Linked DNA regions of Arabidopsis thaliana. Each later gene encodes a partner of the first gene's protein in a complex. Each region holds a gene or a part of one and is shown on either strand. Other genes may lie near its edges. The genes, in order: JAL22 and GLL22.

Region 1 (3,936 bases):
GTTGTGTTTGGACGGTCTTAGTGATCGCGAAATACTTGAGTATAGGTATTGATCGATTCTTCTTGTAAACTTTGTTCCAATTATTTTTTTGCCTGATAATCTCTGACTATATATGTTATTTCTTATTCTTCCTGGATTTTCAGATTGGAATGGGAAAATTACACCGAAATCATGATGAAAAGTGATGGAAATTGCCAGGTAATTAATGTTTCTATATCAAACAATCAACTTGATATATATTTTTGATCGTATTATGAATAACCCTTTTTCATGTTTTTGTCAATAATTCTATTTCAGTTCCGTGCTTTGGCGGATCAACTTTATCAAAATTCGGATTGTCATGAACTTGTTAGACAAGAAATCGTAAAACAGGTAATATCAATCTTCAAACTTTTGATTGTTTTTTTCATACGTGTATTAATGTCATATGATGATTGATTGATTGATGACTCTCAGCTTAAAACTCATCCGAAGATTTACAAAGGGTTTGTTGATCATATGGACTTCTCCCATAAAGAACATGTCATTGTCCACTAATTCCCAATGGGGCGATGAAGTGACTTTGAGAGTGGCTGCTGATGTGTATCAAGTAAAAATAATACTCATTACATCAATCAAACTTATTCCATTTATGGAGTTTTTGCCCAAGTCTCAAAAGGAACCGGACAAAGTCATTCATATGAGCTATCTAGCTGGGATCCATTTCAACTCCATCTACAAAAAAAATAAAGAAAAAGGTTAACGTTCTCTTCCTTCTCCATTGTATATACATCTCATCTCCTTACTCTTGATTTGAGGCTTTGAGCAATATTGTATCATTCTTATTCTTCGTCTTGTTGGCTGCTTCAGGTTCACGTTCATCTTCATCATCGAGTTCTGCAGTCTGGATGAAGCTACAGAGGAAGAAGGAGAATGAGGCGAAGAAAAAGGAGGAGGAGGAGAAGGAAAGGAAGGACATGGAGAAGGAGGAGAAGAAAAAGGACAAGGAGGATAAGAAGAAGGATAAGGAGGATAAGAAGAAAGCCAAGGTGCAGAAAGAGAAGAAGGAGAAGAAGGAGAAGAAGAACAGAAATCACCACTTTCACTATTCTGAATGATTTGTTTTGATAAATTAAGTGTATCTGCATTTGACAAGTTGTATGTTATTATTGGGATCATTGTGGTTGTTTTGACTCTTTTATGTTCTTTTCGAGCTTATTCTAGTTTTGAGCCTTAGATACTGATAATCATAAAACACAACATGATAATGTGAAAGAGTCATCATGACATAACATCAGCGTCCCAAAATAACTTGACCATCGTCTCCATGGTATCCAACCGTCGATCCTCAACGACTCCAAAAAGCAAGGACATGAATATATGATGATGATAAGCCAAACTTTTGCATGAACACAGTTTATACAAAATTTAAATAACTGTTAAATTCATTTGAAACTTTAATGAATGATATTTCTGACAGTAACTTAGGAAATAAAGCTTATACACCGTTTTAGTTTGAAGATAATAATTCTAAATCTGTTTTCAAAATGTGCAGTCAAAAAGATTCTTAATACTAAATAGGAGATTTTGGTGGGAATCGCAACATTAACATCATCAAATTTGTTTTAGTTAACAATATATTGAATTTGGTTTATGCTGTTTTGATGAATTGTTTTGTTCATCTGTCGTACTTTAAAATATCTCTGCATCTAGAAAGTTGTATGCTATTATTATATATTGCACTCGTAATGGACTCTAATTATTTGTTGCATTTGTGAGGGAGTCTCTCGTGTCACACGAGTTGATTATTAAAATGATTAATTAAAGACAATCAAGAAGACCTTGTATGCCAAAGATTGTCAATAAATACACACAATTCAATACCCATAAGCTTCATCTCCTTCCATCATTCAGAGCTCAATAATTAACTGGTTATCTCTCTCCCTTCAATTTTTTTTTTTTTTTTTTTTTTTAAAGTAACTCCTAGTTTCCACTACTATGTATGTTGCTTCACAAAATGTTTTTAAAACAAGAAGTAGCTCTTTATATGTAGATATGTATTCTTGAATATATTAGATTTAACAAACACTTTTAAACCTAATTGATTGATTTATATTACACCACATCACCAATAATAGAGCTATCAACATCAAACAGTAAATATTTACCCATGATCAGTTGATTGTTCTATTTGTGTTTCTTGGATCATTTTGGTGTTTTTGCTATGTATTTGAATAGGCTATACAGTGTTATCATGGTATTTATGTATTACTAACCACAAACCAGCTTTAAAAACTATATATAAAGCTGTACATATATACTTTCGTTTTTGGATTATCTATATAAGAAGTAATTTTTGCATTTTACAATATTTTTTAGATTCGAAATGGCGAAGATGTACCGGAAGTTGGCACTCTGCGGTGGTGAGGGAGGACAAGAATGGGACGACGATGTATATGAGGGTGTAAGAAAAGTGTATGTAGGGCAAGATCTCAACCGTATCACTTACATCAAGTTTGAGTACGTGCAGGAAGACGGCGAAGTAGTAACAACTGAATATGGGACAACAAATCAGCACCCTAAAGAGGTTCTCATTGCATTTATTCTCACCCTTAATTTTTTGCGATACTAGTAAATTACTCTTGTGAATTCGGATTAACGTTGGATAAATCCTTTAAGACATAAACAAGAAGAAGCAAGTATTTCTGAGGCGGATACCCTTTAGTGACTCTCTAATTTTTTTGTATTACACTACTTGTGTAAATGAATAAGACACAAACACTAAGACAACGTTATAAAACCAAAACTCAGATACTGTATATTAGGACTAGGAAATCTTGAGAATTATCCTAAACCTATCAATATTAAATACTATAAATTTTATTGAATATATGTTACTATTACATACAGTTTGTAATTCAATACCCGGACGAACACATCATAGCAGTGGAGGGAAGTTACCACCAAGTGGCTCTCATTGCCACAGAGGTGATTACGTCCCTCGTCTTCAAGACCTCAAAGGGTAGAAAGTCTCCATTGTTTGGTCCAAACTTACTTGGAATTACGACCGGTACAAAGTTTGTTTTTGAGGATGAGGGAAAGAAGATCGTAGGGTTTCATGGACGGGCAGGTGATGCTGTCGACGCTCTTGGAGTTTACTTTGTATTGGATACCACGCCGTTCCCTCTTTACAAGCTTGATGCCCAAGGTGGTACAGACGGGCGTGTTTGGGATGATGGTTCTTACGATGGCATTAAAACGCTGCGTATTGATCAAGATAATTCTCGTATCACTTATTTAGAGGTTGAGTACGAGAAAGACGGGGAAGCAAAAACATGTAACCATGGGGGGAAAGGAGATACACCATCCGAGGTAACTTTACTAGTTCTTCTTATACACGACTAGTTCAATAATTTCTCAAAAATGTTATAAATTGTTAAACTCTATTTATATGTGATCATTAGTACAACGACATAAATTAGGTTCCAAATATCAATGATTAATTATTGTGTTTGTAGATTCTTTGCAGTAGTATGAAGTATAACTCTCACACACTCCGGTTCAAATTTTTGTAGATATAATTGACACATGTATTTAGATCTCTTAAGACAAAAAGTCTTCTTATTTTGTTGCTTCTTGTTGCAGTTTGTGCTTGGTTACCCAGATGAATACATCAAATCGGTGGAAGCAACCTATCAGAAGCCAAACATTTTTAGCAATACGGCAATTACGTCACTTAAGTTCTTAACATCAAAGGGGAGAACATCATTCTTTGGGTATAATGTGGGTAAGAAGTTTGTGTTGGAGCAAAAGGGTCATAGGCTTGTCGGGTTCCATGGAAAGGAAGATGCAGCTATTGATGCTCTTGGAGCATATTTTGGACCTGTTCCTACTCCTACTCCCTTGATTCCATCTAAGAAACTACCAGCGATAGGCGGCAACGAAGGAGTTACATGG
Region 2 (3,936 bases), on another chromosome or scaffold:
GCACGATGCGTTCGTGACGAAAAACCCTAAGAATGACAAATATTAATGACTTGGTATTAGAAGTTATAAAACTAAAACAAATGAAATTAAACCATGATAATTAACCAACTCACGGAAGTTTTGGTTCCTCTGCGTCCTAGTAAGAACGGCATTGTAGAAATCAAAGACGGTGAATTGGAAAGGAGCTGATGCAGGAGAGTTTCTAGCCATTTCGTTCAACATCGGTCCAATTTTTTCGTTGTGTTGTTTAGCCAAATCGTTGAGTTTCTCATAGCATTGATCCATCCCGGTGTTGTATTCTTGTCTGACGATGGGTAAGCAACCCAATGGAGCTAAGGTTTGGATCACGAATTTACTCGCTCCTGATGAATACAACGCGCTAATATCGTTCTTTAACTTGTTGGTCACGGAAGTAACAAAAGCTTGTTGAGCAGATGCATCAGCGGTAGGGTTGTTCTTGGTGAAATTTAAGTAATCGTTTGCACCAATGTATATCATAAATACTGACTTTGCCACGAAATCATCGTTCCAATTTGCTGCTTTCATTTGATTGAATTTTTTCACTTGTTGATTCAGAGTCATCTAAAGAACCAAAAAAGAGAAAAAGACAAAAATTAAACCAATATTATAAGTGCAATTAAAGTAAAGCTTATTGATATTAAGTCACATGCTTTTCTGTGAAGTAAAACAAAAAGAATCCCGCTTAGTATGACCGGGTCAATAATAGACAGATATAATTGATTTTCTTTGAATTAGGTGTTGACTATAGATATATACATGACTCTTATATAATAAGAAATTAAGTTTACTTACAGATTCCACCGGAGCTCCGAGTAGAGTAGCACCTTCGACGGCGAAACTAGCTCCACGTGAGACATTGACGTTCGGTTGAAGCGCCGGCGCGATCGCGAGCGGAATCTTCATGAATTTAGCTGCATTTTGTATTTTAAAAATATTTTAGTTTTTCATATAATATCAAATCATTCCTTGTACTACATCTCCGAATCTGTTGACGAAAATAATAAATAAAATTTCATAGAATGTGTCCCGAAAAGTGAATAGCCGCTGAACCAATGCATTTATAATCTTTTTTTTAATCATACTATTTACTATTTTTTAAGTAATTCACTAGTAGCATACTTAAAATGCATTTATAAATACTACTGTTTATGATTATTTTTACGTAATCATACTATTTTTAACATACTTAATGTTTTAAAGATTAGAGTAGGATTCGATTAGAAAAGAAGTCGTACCGAGGAAGTCCGGAGTGATGAGGCCGTCGGAGAATTTGCCGTTGGGATCATCTCGAGATTTTCCGTACGGCCAGAAACCTTGAGCGACTAAGGTTTTGGTGAGAGTCTGTTTGTTTCCGGCGTCGAAGTTGGAGTCACCAAAGGTGAACAAGGCGACCACCGGACTATTCTGTCCGGCGACAGTGATGGGGTTGTGAAAGAGGGTCAATACCAAAATTACACATAGAACACTGACTAAATTACAGTTGTTTGCCATCATTTAGAGAGAGGGAGAAACAGAACTGTGAAAAGAGAAGAAGATTGCTTTTGTGCCTTAGCTCGTAGACCGATTCGTTATATTTATATTGCAAGTACTACAATTTGGCAATGAAAATAATAGTTCATTTTACTATACAAATAATAACGTGTAGCGCGAGGTTCATTTTACTATACACCTATTTAACGCACTAGCAAACGATTATCGATCAATTATATTATATAGTTCGCTTAATCACGTCTGACGCATTACTGGTTTCTCTTCTACTTTATTTTTAATTCTCAACAAAATATCTATTGTTACTACGAGTACCAAGAAAGATCGTGCTTTTTTTTTTTTGGTTCAACAACAACTTACAATTACACAAGAGTCTGAATACACATAAGCTTTAACCCAATCCGGCAATATAGAATACAATTTGGGATCATAATTCAGAAAAGAAAGAGATTCCCTAGCAATTCTATCTGCCACACAATTCCCTTCTCATCGGGTAAAAGTCACTTTAACCTCTTCGAAGTGCTGAAAAGATCGTGCATTTAGAGGCAAGAAGTAGAATTAAACATACAAATTTCACGGAAATATAGGGTGTAAATGGTAACACTAAACCAGATTCAGTAATTTCTGCAGTAACCATTTGCATAAAACTAAATTTTGCTGACTAGCCAAATTCAACAAAAAAATTTCAACACCAACATATACGTAGATATGTTTATTTCTGCTAAAACTTTTGGATAATTTACGAGTACACAACTCGAATTAAAATATTTTTAATATCAAAATACATATCAAATAGATATTTTTAAATAAGTCAGATTATACTGATACGATATATGAATAATATAGATACATAAAATATCACTACCAGAATAGACAAGAGACGAATATGTTCGGATAATTATAGATAATTTGGATAATAATTTTAATAACGTTTAGATAACTTAAATCAATTATTAAAATTTTGCAAAAACAACTCATACCTATGCTAAGATATTCTTTAAAAGATAAATTATAGTAATTTCCTTAATCATCCTCATCATATTATTGATTAAATTACTTGAAAACAATTAAAAAAAACAATTAACAATCTATATTTTATCATCATGTTAATTTTTGAAATTATTTTCTTAATAGTGTTTTGACAAAGATTTTCGTTAATTATTTACATATTTTTAATAGTTCAAATTTAAATAAGAAAGAATAACTCAATTTTGCGTTGACACAATCTTAATAGTATAGGTAATAGCTTAGTTATGTATATATAAATTATAAAAACTTGTGGAGAGTTGTTCCTTAAGATTTACAGTGAAGATTAGAGAAGATTAAGTTTTGAGAGAGTGTCTATATCAAATACAGAAGAGTTGGTCCTTATTCGTTTGTAAGTTCTAGTAATTATCAATTTGATTGGAATCATTAGAACGACAGAAAGGTGAACAATTTTGTTTCTAAAAGAGTGCAGAAACTAGATAAAAATAAAACACATTTGCTTACGTGAAGATGAAGTTTTATATGAAGAACGCCTCATTTGTTTGGTTCATCTATTATCTATATATATGATTTTTGGTTTTATTTCATATGAAAATTAACTGTAAATATAGCCGGCCCCAAAGCCAGATGTATAAACTTATCTTTTCTGGAACTTTATAATTTCTACTTTTTATTTTCTTTGTTGCCAATCATTTCGAATATTACCTTGCAAGAATAATTGCAAACAAAAAAAGAGGGTAAAAAAGGTCTCAAATTGAATCCACTACCTTCTTAAATTGATTCCACCAAAATTTATCATTTTGTTCTAATGGAGTGCATGTGGCCCGAAACTTGTCTAATCTGAGCACAAAGCAGGTCATTGGACACGCTTTGGTTCATATTGTCAGGTTTATCACGTTACTCATTGAGATTTTTCTTATGGAAAAAACAGAGTTGAGGTTACATTATTATTTTAAATCTCAACAAATTAATAACAGCGCATTTCAAATTCCAAGAGCTCGTTCATGGTATAGAGATGGAAAATAGTGAGCTCAAGAACTAAACGAGTTAGATAGATTCACTAGCATCGACGTCGACGTCATGGACTAACGATGATATTCTCATCCATTGGATCCTCCCAAAACTCACGCATAGGCTCATTAACAGGATACACAATGAGCTCACGAACATTCATAGGTTGGATAACATTTGGGTCCGCTCCAAAAGATAAGATGATGAGAAAACGCTTCTTGTGCCTTCTTTTTTTAATTATGGAATTACCTTTTAATATGTGGTTGACAAAAAAAAGAAATAAATTTATGTAAAAGTTTTGTTTCTTTTAAATAAAAGATTTGCAAGGGGTAAGAGTTGCAGAGATCAATCTTTTATTATGGAGGAAAACTCACTAGAGAAACATGAAAACATTGGAAATTAAAACTACTCAAGATTCCGATATTGATC

Evidence for each region.
Region 2: JAL22 (region 1) and GLL22 share a complex: the UniProt entries of both Arabidopsis thaliana proteins name them as parts of the PYK10 complex.

The regions. Positions count from the first base shown.
Region 1 is NC_003071.7:16,414,753-16,418,688, reverse strand, and holds the start of JAL22 (jacalin-related lectin 22), read left to right. Parts: upstream 1-1,843; 5' UTR 1,844-1,910; intron 1,911-1,951; exon of another isoform or gene 1,952-2,358; 5' UTR 2,359-2,365; coding exon 2,366-2,566; intron 2,567-2,889; coding exon 2,890-3,351; intron 3,352-3,624; coding exon 3,625-3,936. Other genes in the region: AT2G39320 (Cysteine proteinases superfamily protein), read left to right, coding at 172-198, 298-372, 518-737, 850-1,097. UniProt on the Arabidopsis thaliana protein: Inhibitor-type lectin that may regulate the correct polymerization and activation of BGLU23/PYK10 upon tissue damage.
Region 2 is NC_003070.9:20,154,851-20,158,786, forward strand, and holds the start of GLL22 (GDSL-like Lipase/Acylhydrolase superfamily protein), read right to left. Parts: upstream 1,671-3,936; 5' UTR 1,516-1,670; coding exon 1,257-1,515; intron 933-1,256; coding exon 814-932; intron 583-813; coding exon 114-582; intron 27-113; coding exon 1-26.